Sus scrofa: one gene and its partner. The protein of the gene in region 1 interacts with the protein of each later gene in a pairwise test. Links are inferred from orthologs where the notes say so. Each region holds a gene or a part of one and is shown on either strand. Other genes may lie near its edges. The genes, in order: DLC1 and RASA1.

What was found.
Region 2: the proteins of DLC1 (region 1) and RASA1 interact in binary tests that used the Homo sapiens proteins (3 or more experiments, as listed by UniProt). The link is inferred for Sus scrofa from reciprocal best matches to the Homo sapiens genes DLC1 and RASA1.

The regions. Positions count from the first base shown.
Region 1 is NC_010459.5:1,630,639-1,640,940, forward strand, and holds the start of DLC1 (rho GTPase-activating protein 7), read right to left. Parts: upstream 6,533-10,302; 5' UTR 6,411-6,532; intron 1-6,410. UniProt on the Homo sapiens protein: Functions as a GTPase-activating protein for the small GTPases RHOA, RHOB, RHOC and CDC42, terminating their downstream signaling.
Region 2 is NC_010444.4:94,973,950-94,983,476, reverse strand, and holds part of RASA1 (ras GTPase-activating protein 1), read right to left. Parts: intron 9,045-9,527; coding exon 8,872-9,044; intron 8,547-8,871; coding exon 8,387-8,546; intron 6,386-8,386; coding exon 6,243-6,385; intron 4,337-6,242; coding exon 4,221-4,336; intron 3,472-4,220; coding exon 3,385-3,471; intron 2,540-3,384; exon of another isoform or gene 818-2,539; coding exon 750-817; exon of another isoform or gene 1-749. UniProt on the Homo sapiens protein: Inhibitory regulator of the Ras-cyclic AMP pathway. Stimulates the GTPase of normal but not oncogenic Ras p21; this stimulation may be further increased in the presence of NCK1.

The DNA of each region.
Region 1 (10,302 bases):
ACAGATGAACCATGAAAATTGTGAATTAGAAAACAAACCTACTGAAGAGTCTGCTTCCATAGAAAGATCAATGATAAAAATATCCCCATTGTGTGTGATTAAGACAAAAAAGAAAAAATATGACATAGGAATTATAAACCTAGATACATTCACAATTGTAGGAATGATTAAAGAATTATGACGATCATTATGTTAATCTCATGTCACTGATTTTTCACATTCAACAAAATGGGTAACATCATAGAACAATAACAAATAACAAAAATCTTTTTGAAAGATACAAGTGAACTTTGTGCTGAACAGAAACAGACTCACAGACTTTGAAAATAAACTTTTGGTTACCAAAGTGGACAGGTGGGGGTGGGGGTGGGATAGACTGGGAGTATGGGACTGGCATATGCACACTGAGGTATATGGAATAATTGGCTAATGGAGACCTACCACATAGCACAGAGAATTCTACGCAATATTCTGTGATAACCTATGTGGGAAAAGAATCTGAAAGAGAATGGATACGTGCATGTATAACTGAATCACTTTCTTGTACAGCAGAAATTATCACAACATTGTAAATCACCTATTATACTTCAATAAAACTTTAAAAAGTGAAGAAAATTGAAATTGACTTAAATAGAAGAAAATTTGTACAAATTAAGACCTATGGGAAAAATTTGTTAATTATTTATTGCTAAAATAGAAATTAGGCTCAGATGGTTCCTTCTAACATTTTTATATTTGGCAAAATATTCCAGATTACAAAAGGATAGAAAGTGTCTTACCTTCTTTTACAACTTTATTATCAAATCTGATGAAGGCAAGAGTAAAAGATTAACCAAGAGCATAAATATCTGTGAATAAACTATAAAACCTGAGACTTATTCTCCCAGAATATTACAAAAAGCTGCTGAGACAATAACAAGTATCTAAATAAACAGACACATATACCAAATACATGAATTAGAAGACCCAATGTAGTCATGCCTACTCTAGCCAAATTAAAATATAAATTCAGCCCTAATAAAAATCTCTCTTTTGGTAGAAATTGACCAGGTGATTCTAAATTGGGAGACATAAAGGTCCTTAAATGGCCAGGACAATTTTTAAGAAAGAAAAAGCATTATAAAAATCTTACATAATAAGTAAAATGTACAGTTGAGAAAGGAAAACAAATCTCTAAGTATGTGTGTATCAGTTTGCATGACATGTGAGCTTACTGGACAAATTGATTCAGGTTAAACATCCAATCCTCATTTTGTTCACCATTCTCCACTGAGCCTTGCCTGAATCTGAGGCTCAATCTGTTTTTATTACTTGGGAAAAACTGACAAGGTGGAAGTACCTCAAGAAACTTAAACTTGAAAAATCAGCAGGAAACATGCTTTTCTCCATTTAGGAGTTATTCCAAACATTCAGACTATGAGGGGCCCCACATTACATAATACTCAATTCTTTATGGATTTGTATTTAAGTAAGGAGACATACCTGTGAGGAGACGTACCTGCATCTCTGACAATCTCTCTCTTAATTTATAGACCCTTTCAAGTCAAGGGTTGTATAGAATTTAATGATTGAAACCTAGTAAGAAGAAGTGAATTAAAGAATTCCTAGAGGAAATTAAAACCTAAAGTAATTAAAATATCTCACAAGGCTCAGTAATCAACAGTCCTACTTAAAGACTGTATACAGTTATTCATGTTATCTGAACCCAAGAAAATTAGCTACAACTGGAGTTTATAAGGAAATTTGAAAATAACTCAACATGAAATAAATTTTGCATTTTCTGTCAATTACTAGCACAACCCTCAAGCCGTCATCTTCACTTAAATCAGAAAGTAGCACAAACATAGTTAAAATGAAGGCAAAGTGGCAACATAAAAATATACCATAGCATTCTTGGACAATATTACTTTTATTCCTAATAGAAGTTTCTTTTCATTTTTATGCCTTTCAAAACTTTAGGCAGGTAGAGAGTTCTTTTTATTAAAGTAAACTTGTTTTAACATAAGATCATAAGACTGCCACAAATAGCATCCAAAATGAAGTTCATTCTCATTAATTTTACTTTCATGTTGTGTACATATACAGTTATAATCATCAACTCAAGGTCTTTATTTGTGTATATTTGCCTATTCACGGTGTAAAATCTTTTTACTCCAAATGGAGTATTCTCATTTTTACAGGTAATATCCATTTTATAAAATCCTCATGGATATTTTCCCAGTTTGTTACATTTCATTCTTCACTTGTTCAGTACTTTCTAATAAATAGATATTCATTTATCTTGAGTCTCATCCATTTTTAAAAACGGGTCTCCATTTTCATCCAGTCTCTCAAGATAAAGCCATGTGCACTCCTCCTGAATCACAGTCTTCTCCCCTTTAATGTTATTATAGGTATGGCAGCCTCAAGCAGCTGTTATACAACACACAACTTTGCACTAGGCCTGCCTGTTTTAGTTTCAATAATCAGGTTTCTGACTAGCTCTTGAGCTCAAATTCCCATATGCTGTCTTATGCCTTAATGCATAAGTTCCTGGCTGATAAAACTATCAGTTAAATATTCTATCCATTTGATCCCATGGATGATAGAACTTTCAAATAAATGCGGGTGTTTTAGCCTGGGAGCCACATTTGTCAGACTGCTAGAGATCGGACAAACATTACTTTTCAAGCTATGTGCCCTCTTTTTGATTTCTGTCATTGCTATAAGCAATTTAATTTGTAAGGAGGAGTCCCCGTTGTGGCACAGTGGAAATGAATCCAACCAGGAACCATGAGGTTGCAGGTTCGATCCCTGGCCTCACTCAGTGGTTAAGGATCTGGTATTGCCATGAGCTGTGGTGTAGACTGCAGATACGGCTTGGATTTGGCGTTGCCGTGGCTGTGGTGTAGGCAGGTAGCAACAGCTTTGATTAGACCCCTGGCCTGGGAACCTCCATAGGCCGCGAGTGCGGCCCTGAAAAGACAAAAAAAAAAAAAAAATTTGTAGGGAAGCACTTGTTAGAATTATCAGGCTAACAATATGAAGCTAGCATATGAGATGGGAACTGGGGTAACTTGGCTAAGTGTCCAGTGAAGAGTGAGAGTTAATAGGACAAAGAAACAAGAAAAAAGAGAAAAGGAAGTAGAGGAACAAATTGGGTGTGCATTTTCTAGGAAATCTAAGAGATTCAATTTTTACTATATATAATTTCAAGTTGTAGAAACTGCATTTATATACAAGAAACAAATGTACTTTGATGATTTTGCTAGCTAAGTAACCTAGAAGTAAAATTCATAATTTGTGTTATTTTCCCTTAAGTATTTTTTGGGGGCACACTTTTTTTCAGAATTAACTTTATGTTTTTACATTTCAGATTAAAGTAATAAGACATTGAGCAGCAGTGACTGCTGACATCACAAAAAGGAAAACAACCACAAATTAAGTGCCTCCTCATGGAAGGTCACCACTCTAACTGAAGTTCCTGGCCAAGAAACTGAATCCGAATCTGAGAAATTCTCTAGTCCCAAGTACCAATCGAGAAAAAAACATGGAAGGCAGAAAAATCCATGAAACTACACCATGGTACTACAATCAGCAAGGTCTAAATTGGGAAATTCTACAGGACAAAAATTCAGGGTTTTTTTCCAACAAGGCGCAAGGAAAAAACAACTCCGGAGAATCTGTAGATCAACCTTTCCTACCCCCAACCATCAATCAATTGCCATGTGTGAGGTTTATTTGGATCCTAACTTTTTTAAATATAAAGAAACAAAGACATTTGGGAGATTATAGAATATTCATACACTTACTATATATTTGGCGTTATTAAGGATTTTTTTTTTAAACCGTGATCATGGTACTGTACTGTTTTATTTATTTTCATTTTTATTTTTTTTGTCTCTTTAGGACTGCAGATGTGGCATAGGGAAGTTCCCAGGCTAGGGGTCGAATCCTAGCTGTAGCTGCTGGCCTACACCACAGCTACAGCAATGCCAGATCCAAGCCACATCTGTGACCTACACCACAAGCTGACAGCAATGCTGGATCCTTATCCCACTGAGCAAGGTCAGGGATCAAACTTGCATCCTCATGGATAATAGATTTGTTTCCGCTGAGTCACGATGGGAACTCCATGGTACTGTACTATTTTAAAGATGAGAGCTTATTTTTTAGGGAAGCATACATATGAAATGACATGCTGTCTAAAATTACTCTAACATAACATGGGAATTAGGATAAATTGAAGGGACTGTGTATGAAATAAGAATGGTCATATGTGTTCACTGTTAATGCTTGGTCCTAGGTACCTAGAAATTCATTAACCTGCTCTGTTTTTATAAATGTTTAAAATTCATCATAGTTTTTTTTAAGTTAGGCCAAAATAAAAGAATTTTCAGATTATTGAACAAATTAAACTAAACTAAAATTAAATAAACGTTTTCAAATTTCTATTATTTCCCGATTTTGGCTATAAATTTTCCAGTTCTGTGAAGGTTTTGGATTCTCTGCCTTATTTTAAAAGTTTGTGGAGTTCCCATTGTGGCTTGGTGGTAATGAATCGACTAGTATCCATGAGTTTGTGAGTTTGATCCCAGGCCCTGCTCAGTGGGTTAAGGATCCTACGTTACTGTGAGCTGGGTGTAGGTCACAGACGTGGCTCTGATTGGGTGTTTGCTGTGGCATAGACCAGCAGCTATAGCTCTGGTTCGACCCCCTAGCCTGGGAACTTCCATATGCTATGGGTGTTGCCCTAAAAAGCAATAAATAAATAAATAAATTTCTTTACATAAGAGCATCTGTGGCCAATTTATTTGTCATCAGATCATGTCCATATGTAATGATAATGTAACCAAATTTTAAAAGATAGATATTTTTGCTAGGTTGAAAACATATTTTAAGACATCAGAAATTAAGAGTTCTTAAGGCTTTTAGGTAGCAATACCTTAGACAAAACATCTGCTAATATAATATAAAGTGAACATGATAATTTCAAGATAATGAATAAATTACATTGCTCAAAGAATAAGCAGTTTTGTTTAGTAAAATTCAAATTTTTTTCTTGCTCTGTAAATTGTAATAACTAATATTAAGAGAATGCAGATTAATACTTAACTTGCAATAATTTATTTTTATCTGTTAGAGATGCTATCAGAAAAAAGAACTTAGTTTTTCTCTTCAGGATGCTGATTTTCACTGTCACCCATTTGTATGTAAAGTTTTTAACATCATTCATTTGTTTATAAGTCTTAACAATATTAAAAAAGTAATTAATATATACAATTCAGTGACCTAGTCAGAGTGTGATTGATGAGAATCAGTAATTATTTTCTTAAACAGAAGAGAAATTGTTTAATCAACAGAGAATTAATAAGACCATAATTAAGGTTTTATAAGATTAATCTGTAGTAATATTACCTTTCTTGTAAATTATAATAAATAATGTATTCAACATTAGACAAAAAAGATGCATAGTAAATTTTAGCTATTTATGCTAAAGGGTCCTATACTCTACATCCTATTGACAATTTAAATCTCCCCAGTCTAAATGTTCAGGACCTTTGCCCTGTTAGAAAATCAACTGAGTAAATGCAAGTGATTTTAAATTAAGGAGGCAGTGCAATTACTTTAGGAAAGAAAAAATTAACTTATCCATTAGCATTATAGGTTGCTGTAAGGGAAAATCAGGCTGTCTGTTCATTCAATTAACTCTCGACCTCAAGGTAACTGATCATTTCATTTGTAACATTGTTGATTAAGCAGCTCTGAATTTTTAAAAAAGCTATGCCTTGGCAATACGTTTCTCTGGGATTACTTGGATCTATTTGGTACATTGGTTAATTATCAGAAGAAGTAAATGATTTATTTAAAAAATTTTGATCAAATCCATGAAAAAGTTTATGATAAAATAACACTATAAATTTATTTTTCTAGTCAAAATAACTTTAAACATATATGAATACTATTTCAAAATACAATGATAATCTTATATCTATACTGAAATTATTCAATAGAGTAACAGAAACAAAAACAAAAATGAAAATGTGTATCACAAATAATAGCATCTGCTTTCAACACAATAAATATTTTCACTTTGAACTTTGTAGAGGAAATCATCTTTCCAAACAACTATACAACACAGCACTGCAGTTTTCACTTACTGTTAAGAATACATACTCCCATGAGAAAGCATTTCACATTTTTAGATGAATACAATTTCAGTCAATGCCAGAAAGTGACACTAAGCATCTTGAGGTTTTCCTAGGTATATTTAGTCTTAGGCATTTTTCTCTACTAATAGAACTTCATTTATGAGTAAACTATTTTGTTTCTGTTTTCGGAAACAATTTAACATGCAAACTGCTCACACAACAATGCACACAAATTGTTATATATGGTATTAAATATAAAGGGTGAAGTAAGGCTTTTACCTGGTAATCACCTGTGTCCCTCTGTCTGAAGCTGAGTAGAACAGATCCCCCGGCAGTGTCTTCTCTGATGATCAGAGTGAGGGCAGCCGCATTTGAAGGGGTGGGACTTGTCTTCAGCAATGAATTCCCAAGGGGCTGTTTCCAATCAGAGAATGCTACAGCAGACAATGAAACCATTCTCCATTTGTTGACCCTCGTTTTGTAAGTACAATCAGCTGTGGGTGTATTCAGGCATCAGTGGAGGAACTGACATAGATTTCACTGAGGTTTATGGTATGAAGAATATTTTGAAACAAGGATTACACGAAAATAAATTTGCTCTTTCCTTTCTTTGAAGTTTTTCCACTGTGTATTCATTTCTTCTCATGTTCTCCCATTGGGGTGCAAATCACAAAAAAGCTTAACCTCAAGCAGTATAATCTCTCACCCAATGAACCTGCCAAGTCCTCTGAAACACCACTTATGAATGTATACTGTGGTCTCTGCTGTGAAAATTTCTCTGAGGGAGGGGAATGGAGGGCTCCCTGCTTTGGGAGCCCCTTTATCCAACTAGGGACAGTGTTACCTGATAGAGATCCTATATATGATGGTTGTTTATGCCTAGTATTTTCACCATCATTGTGTGCAAACTCACACATCTCATTTCTGTGTTACAAATGTTACAAATCAGATAGCTTTGTTTGATTATCCCAGAGCTGCACTTGCTGAAAGTATTTTTCATATTGGTGTAGTTCTTCTAGTTTGTTTCAACACGTTCTACACCCAATTCTGTCACTTTCTTTTAAGTATATATGTAGACTCCAACAGCTCTCACCACTTTGACCTCTACTGCCCTGGCAGAGTTGACCACGAGCTCACCTTTCTAATGGGCATGCCTTTTTCTGCACCCTGGCCTCACAGTCTAGTCTCCATAATAGCAGCCTGGCTGGTGCTTTTAAAACCTGTCAGATCATGTCATTCTCCTAATCCTCCAATAAGGTCCTACTGTAATAATTGATCCTGAAATGTTCTAGTAATGTCCAATCTAATTTACAATAAAATAAAAATGGTTGGCGATGGCCTGTGATAGCTCAGTCCCTCACCGCAGCTCTGAACTTACATGCACTTTCTCTTGCATAGCCTGTCTTGCTCCTTGAACTCTAGGTGCCCAGATCTTCCTGCCATTCTTCAAAGGTGTCAAGGGCACTCCTGCCTCAGGAATTTGGATGTGCTAAATATTCTCCTGGAGGAGTCTATCCCAGATAGATTGCTCTGCTTTCAATTTTCAGTTCAAATGTCAGTTTAACTGTGGGATCCTCCTTGACTACCTTTAGATACAGTAAGTACACTTTCATCAAGCTCTCCTTATCTGGCTTTATTTTTTTCTTCATAGAGTTTAGTTATTTATATGCTTTGTTTACTAGTTAACTCATCCAACAGAATATAAACTCCCAGAGAAAGAGGACTTTGTTTTATTTACTGATGTATCTTAGCATCCTGAAAAGGCTTTTTGGAGTAGGTATTGAATAAATATTTTTTGATGAATTGATTATTAAGCTTTGCTTTTTCTTCCCTACTTTATAGAACATTCTAACAAATAGACTCTAATGAAATAAAAGAAATATCAGTCTATTCTCTTAATGACTTATGTTACTGTGATAATTATGTGATAGTTATGATAGTGTAACTATCAAATGTATCTTAAAATCCTAGAACCTAAAAATTCCTTACCATTCATCATGATTCATCATCGTTACCACGCTGGACTGTAATATGGTCCAGAATTGAACCTATCGATAATTTTCTTGGTCTCCTTTTATACTCACTCAATTGGCTTAATTATCTCTAGTATGAGAAAATATTCTCTACATAAAAACAGATTTATTTCCACAATCTCTCAGAAGATTCTGCAACGTTCTTCATAAGCCTTATTTTCTGCCTTAAGTTATGTGATGCTTTTTATGAAACACCTAATTTACTGTATGTCTTAATTTTTATCTCTCACAATAAAAATTTATTTCCCTATTCATTTCAGCAAAATCTCTACATCTATGTTAAAAGCTAAAGACTAGAAAAAGAGGTGTCAGTTTTGTGAAACAGCATATAAGTAAAGGCAGCTTTGCTCCCATTTAAAATGAGCCTTAACTTTTGAATTCTACCTTTAGTTAGCCCCTGTGGTTATTTCTAGACGATGTGAGGGAAAATGGTGCAACCAACATACAACTCTCAATTTGTGAAAGGTCTCTTCTAACAATTTGTAAATCTTCTAAAAGTTGTGCCAGGTCATAGATCAAGATATGAGAAGTGATGTGAGAGCAAATGTGTTAGAACTCAAGGTGTATAAAATGCATAGGATTGGGGTAGTTTCAGAATGCTTGGAATGTTTAGGTGTTTTAAACCAACTATATATTTTAGTTGGTTTAAAATATAGAGCAGTGTATTTGAGGTGGTTGTAAACTTGGTAAACCAATTGGAGAGTAAACAATACTAAAGTCCTAATTGTTTTAAAACAGGTTCCAAATGTTTTTGATTACATATTACTTTTAGGATTTTAGCAGGAACTGTCTATCTACCTTTTATCTATCTATCTATCTATCTATCTATCTATCTATCTATCTATCTATCTATCTATCTACCTACCTACCTACCTATATTTTAACATACTTATTCAAAGGGGATTTAAAGGGCAGATATTCAGAATATTTGACAGTATGCTTAGCTGAGGCAATAACTAAACAAAATCAGTGTTGTCCATAACCCTTGGAGCAGGGTCCCAGAGGCTCCTTACTTTGCTAGGCACCACCCTGATATGTTGGATTACAGAGACAGTGTCCCAGTGCTGAGCTGCATAAGGGCACTTAGGGCAATTGATGCAATAGTTAAGGACCAAATGGTTGGGAAGTGTTATGATATTTAATAAGCAGTATGGATACTTAAATTCTGTAAGCTCTGCATTTTTAAACTCCGCACCCACAAAGAAAACAAATTTAAAAGATGGAGTAGAGATAAAACAAAAATTGTGGTATCTGTGCACAATTATTAGCTAACTTTTCATCAGCCACAAGAAACTCTCAGAGCAAGGTTGCTTGTTAACATTGCTGGGGAGAAATTCATATTGCAAATAAGCTTTAAAGAATTTTTGGCTGTCAGATTTTACTGTGTAAATTTGCTGATGAAAGACACACATCTCAGCTTTGCCAAGTTCATATTGCTATTTTTGTCTGTGTTCTTCTTCCTCTTCTTTTTATTATTATTATATTCAATATATAGACAGTAATTGACCACTAAGATCAGTACAGAGATTTGAGAAGAAAAAATAAAAATATGGCTATCTTCTGGAAAAAAGAGATTGATTTTTCTGCTCTAATTGGACAGTGTGCCACTCTTGAAGCATCTGTTTACATTGCTTGTGATTGTATTATGTGACGTTTGCCTGATTTGGCTACTTGACTGTTCTAGGGGGTTGATGCCAGGAGGTCTTCATTTGTAAATTTGAGAACCTCTAGACCAGATAAAGAGCTCCTCAGGAAAAAGTCATTTTATCCATTGCTGTATACCCCAATCTTCATAAATCTTAGGCTATATACATCCCTTAATGACCGTTTCTTAAACAGAATTTTGTATTTCCTAATCTGTGTTACCAGGTATAGTGAGAGATACTGGTGATAAGTACAGATGTAAATATACACTTGCCTTCTAGGTATTTACTGTCTCATTGAGAAACTGGAACAAATTTATCAAGTGATAAATTACAAAAAAATCAATTTCAGTAATGAATGAGTGATGGAGGCAACATGAACTCCAAAACAACTTCTGTCGTTTCACCATTTAAAAAGAAGAAAACCTGGGGTTCCTGTCATGGCTCACTAGATTAAGAACCCAACTAGTATCCGTGAGGATCTGGGTTCAATTT
Region 2 (9,527 bases), on another chromosome or scaffold:
AAATTTGGTTTGGAGAATAAAATGCTAATTAACATTAGACATTAGGTGACAAGAAATCTCTACTGTGAAACCTCAAAGGGCTACTTTCTTCCTAAGTATTCAGAGTACTATTATAAATGCAGCTGTAATTTACATAGGGAGGTTCTCAGGCTAGGGGTCAAATTGAAGTTGTATGACACACCCACTGTGATGCAGGATCCAAGCCGAGTGGAGTCTGCAGCTTACACCAAAACTGGCAACACCAGATACTTAAACCACTGAGAGAGGCCAGGGATTTGAACCCACATCCTAATGGATATTAGTTGGGTTCACTGCCACTGAGCCACAATGGGAACTCCTGCAGCTATAATTTTATTTTGATTCTAAAATCCAACTTGCAGTGGTAGTGTACAGGGTCTAGCATAGGCTAAAGGCTCATAGAAAGCTGTTCATCCCAACTTGAAAAAGCCACACTGCAGACTAGAAAAACTCATCATAGGAACTGAGACACAGGTGGGGATGGGAAAAAAATGGTAGGTGTATAATCATGCCTTCTCAGGCTTCAGTTGCTTTAGAGAAAGAAAGGAAAGAAGCACAATTAAAAAAATAATAAGGTAAGCCAAAAGTAGAATAGGGTGCTTTGGAATGTTTTAAACCAAGTCTTAGATTTGGATAAGAAAAGCAGATTTAAAAGAGAAGAAAATGAAGTAAACTCACTAAAGAATATGACATTTTTTTTTTAATTTCAAAATTTATCAGAAGTTGATTACCTGAGATGATATTAAACATCCGTGGATTCAGGATGGCAGGACAGATAAGTCGAAGAAAAACAAAACCACTGAATGGGAGGGAAATGTTGGGGTTTTTTTAGATAACCACTATAATATGTATTACATTAAAATAATAAAAATTACAATACTTGTAGAACCATGAACTTTGAACTAATCTATGGAAGGCCAAATAAAGCTTTATAAAAATAATAAGCTAAAGTATTTTGCAATAAGAACATATATCTGCATCTTAAACATTCATTTTCTTCAAATTTAGAATTTTAAATTTACTTTGGGAAGACCTAAGTTATATCTGTTAGCATTTATTGTCTTGGCTAATATTTATTTACTCCAAGGTAGTACAGCCTTTTATACTTACTTTGAAGAAAGTGTTTAGAAACACTAAGGCCTTCTGGGAGTACAAATAAACCTTTTTAATAGATACATAATCCTGTAAGGTCGGAAAACTAACATTTTCTCACTTCTTTCTTTTCTTTAAACAGAACAGCTCAGTAAAGTCCATTATAAATCACACTGGTTATACAGATTTTGTGTTATTTAAAATTTAAGAATCCACTGTACTAGGGAAAAAGTGACTTCCTGATAAATGAAAATGTATACAGCAGTATGCTGAAAAGCTTTTAAAGTGATAAAAAGACATTAAGCTTTCCAAATTAAAATTTTTTCATATTCCAAAATATTAATAGCAAAAACAAAAACTAATTTAAAAGCACATGGCTTAACAATAGTTGTCATACATGATTTTACCTGCTAATCTCTCTCCTGGGAATGCAGTACAAAATAAATCTACAAGCTTACATATCTATTCCTAGTCTGCCCCTTTTAGTTACTGGTACAGTTTATGTCCTTATGTAGAAAATATTTCTCTAACTTCCTCTTCAGAAGAATCCACACTAGTAATTGACCTTTCACCTGCCCTACGTAAAAGACAAGCATTATTTTCAAGGTGACAGAATTCCTTTTAGAGATTAAAATAGTTGACAGAGTCTCTGTTCTCTGTTAGAGTGAATAACCCAACTTCTCAGCATTTAACTTTCCAACAATGCTGTTTGCTAATTTTGGGAAATCTTAGGAAATTAATGCTGCTTCTCAAATAGCATTTATTCCCAATTATACAATTAAGTCTTTAAACAGATATCTTTTAAATTACTTATGAAAAATATTACATAAAATTTGCTTGAAAACACTTGTGATACCTAAATAGGTCTTTGAATTTGAAATATAGTCTAGCAACAATGAACCGTAAGATTTCAGTGTGTGAACCTACTTTCTGTGAATTTTTAGAGGTGATTTGAAATCTAAGAGGAAAATTAGGTTTCTACACATATATTTAAAAGCTTAATCACCACCTTGGCCATAAATGCTCCCTTAAAAAATCCTATAGTATCAAACAATCCACATAGCAGAGTTTCCTGCTTTTTGCTTAACAATTATACTTGTTTGAAACTTACAGAACAGTTTTCATTTACATCACACAAAACTGTTGAAACATATGTTTATAATTCTTTTCTATTTTTCAATCACTACTAAAGGCAGGAAGTACAGAATCTCTAATTCTTAAATATTTAGGTCACATCATTATTAACCAAGAGAGATTTAATCTGTAAAAAAGAATAGAAGCTTCTTTGCAAAATTTAGGTTGGGGACAGGATTAACACACATTTTCAAAACTAATTACACGACCATCAGTAGCTGCCTAATTGTATTTTATGGTATAACATGACGGGAAGCATATATTCTTTATAATAAATTATTATTAGACTGCTGTATTCTCTGATGTTTTTGCACTGATTTCCTATCTTGAATGGGTTAAGGTGTGCTTAACAAAAGCCTGCAAGAGGGTCAAGGTTATTAGATTGGGATTTACAAAATCCACCATTAGTTCTGCCTTAGCCACTAATTTTCTGTGTAACCTGAAGCAAACAACTTACAAGCAAGCAACTCTACAGATTTGCCTCCTCACTGGCAAAGTTAAAATCGTGATAATGAAGTCTTCCTATATAAGCTACAAACTTTTATGACTTGACAAAGCAATTCCTAATTACTGTACAATGAACACACTGAAACACAGCTTCAGAACTATAGATTCTGGTTTGAGATTAGCCCCAAGTGACAGACTGTTGCAAATCAATATCTAAATGGTTCAATTATGGCTCTTCCTTCTTAACACAAATCAATCTTTTTCTCTTTCCCCCCGCCTCTGTCTTTCTATATATATCTATGTATGTATACACATCTATGCATGTATATATGTCTGTATGAAAGTTTCTACATGAAGTTAGCTACAGATTTTAGATTTTGTTGGTTTCATGACTTTTAACCTCATTCTGTAAGGTAAAAGAATCCCAAATAGTTAACTGAATATAAATTAATGTTCACGTTTTTAGAAAGTGCAAAAAGTAGCTAGCTAAGTATCATGGTAACTTAAAAAAAACAAAACAGTAAAAGTTTAGGAGCTAGCTCAATTCAGAAAATATTCAGTGGGGCTCTGACATAAAAGTAGAAGAAAAAGTCTTGAATTGCATAATATATATTGTTGGTCTTCAAATTTTCACATATCCACTTGACTATAAGTACATACTATACAATCATTTAACAAACTGACAAGCCTTACCTAACAACTCTTGTTCTCATGGTGGTATTTGTAGGCCACTTGTGCTGGACAGATTTCTGTAAACACCCATAAATATATCTCAGTGTCCTGCCAAAATAACACAGTCATCTCAATACAGAAAATAAATGAAAATAATGATCACATTGCAGCCAAAAGCTTAATTTATCAAGTACATGATATTTTTTAATGCAACTGGCCTTTTTCCCAAAACAGAACTCTGCTGCAAAACATTTGGCAAAGGATAAAACTTTTTAAAAGTTTTCATCATCAATTCATTTGGCCAATTCTTTACATTTACTTTGGAGGACATCCTACCATTTTTAGATTACTTCTGTATTAATGAAAAGCATGAAAAAGTATTGCAATGAGGATACAGAGGAACTAATGAGTACAGAGTCCAGTGAGACAGACTTTGATATAAGTTAACTTTCAACTGATTGAGTTCACTAACATTGGAAGCCATTAAGCAGATATTAATTTTCTTGTGTACATTTTGAGCAAGATATTCAACTACAGACTGAAGAAATACATCTCTTTTATAATCTCTTTGAATCTGAGACTCTAAGTCTCTATTCATTCTCCAAGTCATGAGATAAACCAGACATACTGGCCTATATAAAAACATGATTTGTTTTATTTTAATGTAAATATTTAACTTTGGTTTCTTCAAGTCACTCTTTTTCCTTGAACACAATTCATTATGTAAAGATTAAAAACTCTAACTTTTCAGAGTATAATAACATCACAATAGTAGAAAAGCTTACATGTTTTAGAAATACAAAATTTTTAAGAGGCAGGTATACTATTTCTTGTCAAATTAAAATTTCACCACTTACGGTGGAAGTATTTCTGAAGCCATGAATATTTTCTCCACAAGCTCTGAAAGTATGTTCAATAGGTGTGCTAAATTAGTGTTCACATCTTCATTTTTTTCTAACTTTGATGGACTTAACTAAGAGAAGGAATAAATCAATATAAATGCATCTTGGCAATCATAAAAATCAAGATAAACAGTCGTTTTCAAGGTTCTCCATTATTCATTCTGTATTCGTCTTGGTGGTAGAGGAATGGGGATAAATGAGAATTTTTTTTTTATTATTTTATTTTAATTGTTTTTAGGGCCACACCTGCAGCATATGGAGGTTCCCAGACTAGGGGTTGAATCGGAGCTGTAGCCACTGGCCTCCACCACAGCCACAGCCACATCAGATCTAAGCAGCGTCTGCAACCTACACCAGGGCTCACAACGCCAATCCTCAACCTGTGAGCTAGGCTAGGGATTGAACCTGCATCATCATGGATGCTAGTCAGATTAGTTTATGCTCAGCCATGACAGGAACACTGAGAATTTCAAATAGTTTGCTGTATGGAATTCTTAATGGGCTTGTTACCATTAATTCATAATTATTCCACTAAAAACTGAGTAGTATTAAACCATTTTCATTTTTTTTTTGAGGGGTTAATACCATCAATAAAGTTTTCTTTTATTCATTTACCATGTTTTACCATAGATTTTTACAGGCATACAAACTGTTTTAGACTTCAGTTTAAATGTAATATTCCCAACTAGAAGACAAAAAATCCAGTTTCAGTGGCCACATATTCACAGATACACTACAGAGCATTTAAATGGGAAGAAAGATCACCACATATCATTATAAAATCTTAATTCTATTTGAAAACTGATTAGAGAGGTTTTTCTGAATAAGATTTAAGTGACTAATAAAATACCAATGCCTCAGGCAGAATCATGAACCTTTTCCAAAATGTTCCAATAACTTTTGAAATTTAAGAATTCTGATCTGGAATCAATGGGGTAGATTTATTCACAGGAATCTAAAGTCACTAGCCTGGATTCAACATCCAGAGACTGCGGACTTGCTACATTTCTGTATTCTTTACAGTCAGGCCAACTATGGTGTTAAGTCTACATCTGACAACTTAATGCAGAATTAACATTTACTGCACCCAGTGAACATTATCAAAAGTAGTTATTTTATTAATTTTATATCAGATCTAAAAAATATACTTAATATCCTCCTCAAGAGTTCCCATTGTGGCTCAGCAGGTTAAGAACCCAAATAGTATCCATGAGGATATGAGTTTGATCCCTGGCCTCATTCAGAGTGTTAAGGATCCAGCATTGACACAAGCTACGGTGTAGTTTGCAGATATCGCTTGGATCTGACATGGCTGTGGCACAGGCCGGCAGCTGCAGCTCTGATTCCACCCCAAGCCCAGGAACTTCTATATGCTGCAGCTGTGGCCCTAAAAAGAAAAAATATATATATCCTCCTTCTATAGTTGCTCTAACTTCAAAATAAAATGACAGAATAGCCATATAAGTGAGATTTTACTCCTTATGGTAATGGTTCGTTATGAATCTTCAGTGAAGCCTTATCCTAAAAGGATGTTTTTATTTGCTTTTGAGGAGACTGTCTTGTACCTCTGACCTTCTCACCCCACCCCCCAAAAAATCTTCAAAGACAAACCTAGATGTTACTATCAAGTGCCACATACAACTTACACAATAGAAGTCTCAAACATAAATTTCAACTTATGCTAAGTATACTTTCTGAAAGTAGCATATACTTTTATCATTAGTACAGTATGAGAAATGATAAAGTACTTGCATGTATTTCTGGTGCAATTTGAGATTCTTAATCCACAAATAATGTACATCTTTTTTAAAAAGTCTGTTTTGCGTAACACTTTTCTAAATGTATTAGAAAAGGTTTAACTTCTCTGATGAATAGTTTCAGACAGGTAACATATTTTCCTTAAAGTGTAATTAGTTATAACACATTACCTATTTGAATATGCTCTTTCCTGAAATACTTACAACATTAAATACTCACCTCACAAGATTGCTTGCTTTCCATTATCTTTAAGATAGAGTCTTTCAAAGCATGATGAACAAACTGTGTAGCAGTGGCTTTCATATACTGCTCCATCAAGGTGCTTGCAAGTGTTGTGGCTCGAAATAGAGTAGTGGCTTCATCTACATAAATATATTAAAAGATTGTTTGTAAAGGATTGTATTAATGTGAACCAAATTGAAAATTAAATCAATTCATTTTTCCTCAACCAATTATCATTTAAACATGCTTATTTGCAATCAGCAATAAAGTATTGATTATACTGACATTCTATATTTCTATAAACATAATTCTTTAAAAGATCATAATTTATCCTTAATTCTTAATTAAATCTTAAATAATGAATTAAGATAAAGAATTAATTCTTGGAGTTCCCATCGTGGCTCAGAGGAATGAATCTGACTAGCACCCATGAGGACACAGGTTCAATCCCTGGCCTCAGTCAGTGGGTTAAGGATCTGGCAATTCCATGAGCTATGGTTTAGGTAGTAGATGCAGTTCGGATCCCACGTTGCTGTGGCTGTGGTGTAGGCCAGCGGCTATAGCTCTGATTTGACCCTTAGCCTGGGAACCTCTATATGCCACGGGTCCGGCCCTAAAAAGACAATAAATAAATAAATAAATAAATAAATTCTTAATCTTCATTAGATCATAAACAGGAGAGGAATTAACACTGCCATGTTCATATCACAAAACAAAGAGTTGGAGTTCCTGTTGTCGCTCAGTGGGTTAAGAATCAGACCTGTATCCATGAGGATGCAGTTTCCATCCCTGACCTTGCTCAGTGGTTTAAGGATCTGGTGTTGCCGCAAGCTGTAGAGTGGGTCACAGATGTGGCTCAGATCCTGTGTTGCCCTGGCTGTGGCTCAGGCCAGCACCTGCAGCTCCAATTTGACCCCTAGCCTAGGAACTTCCATATACTACTGCAGGTGCGGCCCTAAAAAGTTATAAAAAATAAAATCTCTAAGTTAATCTTAAAAAAAAAAGAAAAAACCAAAAACTTTTGAAAGTGATATAACTTATCATCTAGGACTAAAGAACCAAATAGTGACAAAACTTAGCGCCAGAATGTAGCTTTTTCTTTCTACTGAGCTCATGCTTTAAAAAAAATCTGAGCTAATTTCCAAGCAAGAATGCACAATAAAATCCCAGTATAAATTAACTTATTAGCCTAAGCATAGCTATTAATGACATTAGTAAAATCCTAAAAAATGCAAGTATTACCAGAAAAGACAATCTTAATGCAAAACATGTACCACCACTTTATCTTTCCTGACAAATATATATATTTTTACATTTTTTTATGACTAGGAGGAAATAGTTCTGGGTATTACAGTTTATTTGGGGAATCCAGAAGCAAGGACTATTACTGAGTCAAAGTGCTGGTTGTAAATCCCTTTTTATAACATATTTATAAGCTGTTACAAAGATCGTGTCCAGCTATACTGCCTAGAACTACCTATCATAGAAGCTAGAAATAAAATGCAGACACCTAACTTGTACAATGAATTTTTAAATGAAAAATAAACAAGAGAATATGGAAATAGCCAAACTTCTTAATAATCAAGCACTGTGAACCATTGATCTGGACATGGAAGTCACTTTCTTATAGCACCTAATACTAATTTGCCATGACAGAAACTTGTATTTGAAATACTAACAGCAGTTCCTGTGGTGGCTCAGTAGTTAACGAATCTGACTAGGAACCATGAGGTTGTGGGTTCGATCCCTGGCCTCGCTCAGTGGGTTAAGGATCTGGTGTTGCCGTGAGCTGTGGAGTACGTCACAGACGCGGCTCGTATCCCACGTCGCTGTGGCTCTGGCATAGGCCGGCAGCTACAGCTCCAATTAGACCCCTAGCCTGGAAACCTCCATATTCTGAGGGTGTAGCCCTAGAAAAGACAAAAAAGAAAAAGAAATAATAGCTGCTCCCCATTAGCCAGCATAAAGAATCAGAAATGACATTCCAACTGTAATTTTTAAAGAAGGAAAAACAGTAACTTACTTTGTAAGATAATTTAACTATTTAATATAGTCTAAGATGGAGTCTGTATATACTTGATATATATAAAACCTATTAATCCAATTTTTAAAAGTATCACAGAAACACATCCATACTATACCTTCCATGCTTATTTCTCTGTCATTTAGTGTACATAACAACAAGGATTCAAGCTTTTCATGAAGAAAAATCCTCAGTAGGATGCTAGCCAGTAGTGTTCGATCCTGTCCACATACATGTGATAAAGCATTGACTACATGAAGCTCCTTTTGCAGTATAAGCTAAAAATGACATCAGGAAAAATAATTGAAAGTAAGAGAGCATTAAGCATTCTCAGATTAACAGGAAATTATGTTTTTATACATTCTTATATTTAGGAATATGTTCTATTGAATAAATGTATTAAAAATAGAATGAGTTTGTAAGCTACATATTTATAGTCTCTTAAGACCAATAGCATACTGCTGCACGGCTTTTTAACCTTCTCTGCCTGTCAGTGTGCCATTAAACTATGAAATTACTACATTTAACTCAATGGATCTTTCATTAAAAGTATTTCTTGCTAATGCCATTAAAAACAATTAGACTAGTAAATAACTTTAATACCTCTTTAAATTCGCTGTATTCTTCTTCTGGCATGATTTTTTCCATAGAATATCGTGCTCGGACACGCAGAGATCCTGGTTCAATACCTTTTAATGGTATATGGGAGCTGAGCAAAAACCATTCATCTGTGGCATGCCCTTTCTGTAACCGGCTCAATTGGCAGCGCATAAATACTTTGATAGAAAAACATGAAATGATTACTGTCTAAAAAGATGACACCGTAATTAGTCACGCAAATTTTCCTAACATTCCATCTTCTCAATAATGTTAAATGCTTTCCGTTAAAGGGGTTTCCAATAATATGATAAATTCAGTACTTAATGTTTACTTCATTCATTTACCGAATGCCTATTATGTGCCATAGTCTCTGAGAGGCAGGGATGTGGGATACAGACTTTATTAAAACACACTCTCTGACTTATATGGAAATCAGAGTCTAGCCAAGGAGGCAAGAAATCAATTACAATGTGAGAAGGGCTATTAACAATGGTTAATGTGAATGAAGTACAGAGAAATAATATCTAATTCAGCCTGTGGAGGCTAAAACCCCTTTCACACAGGTACCCCTCAGGTTGACTTACAACAGGATCTGGAGATAAAGCTAAGTAGAAATGTACTGGAAAAAAGAGAGTATGTGCATAATCTGAATAGATGGT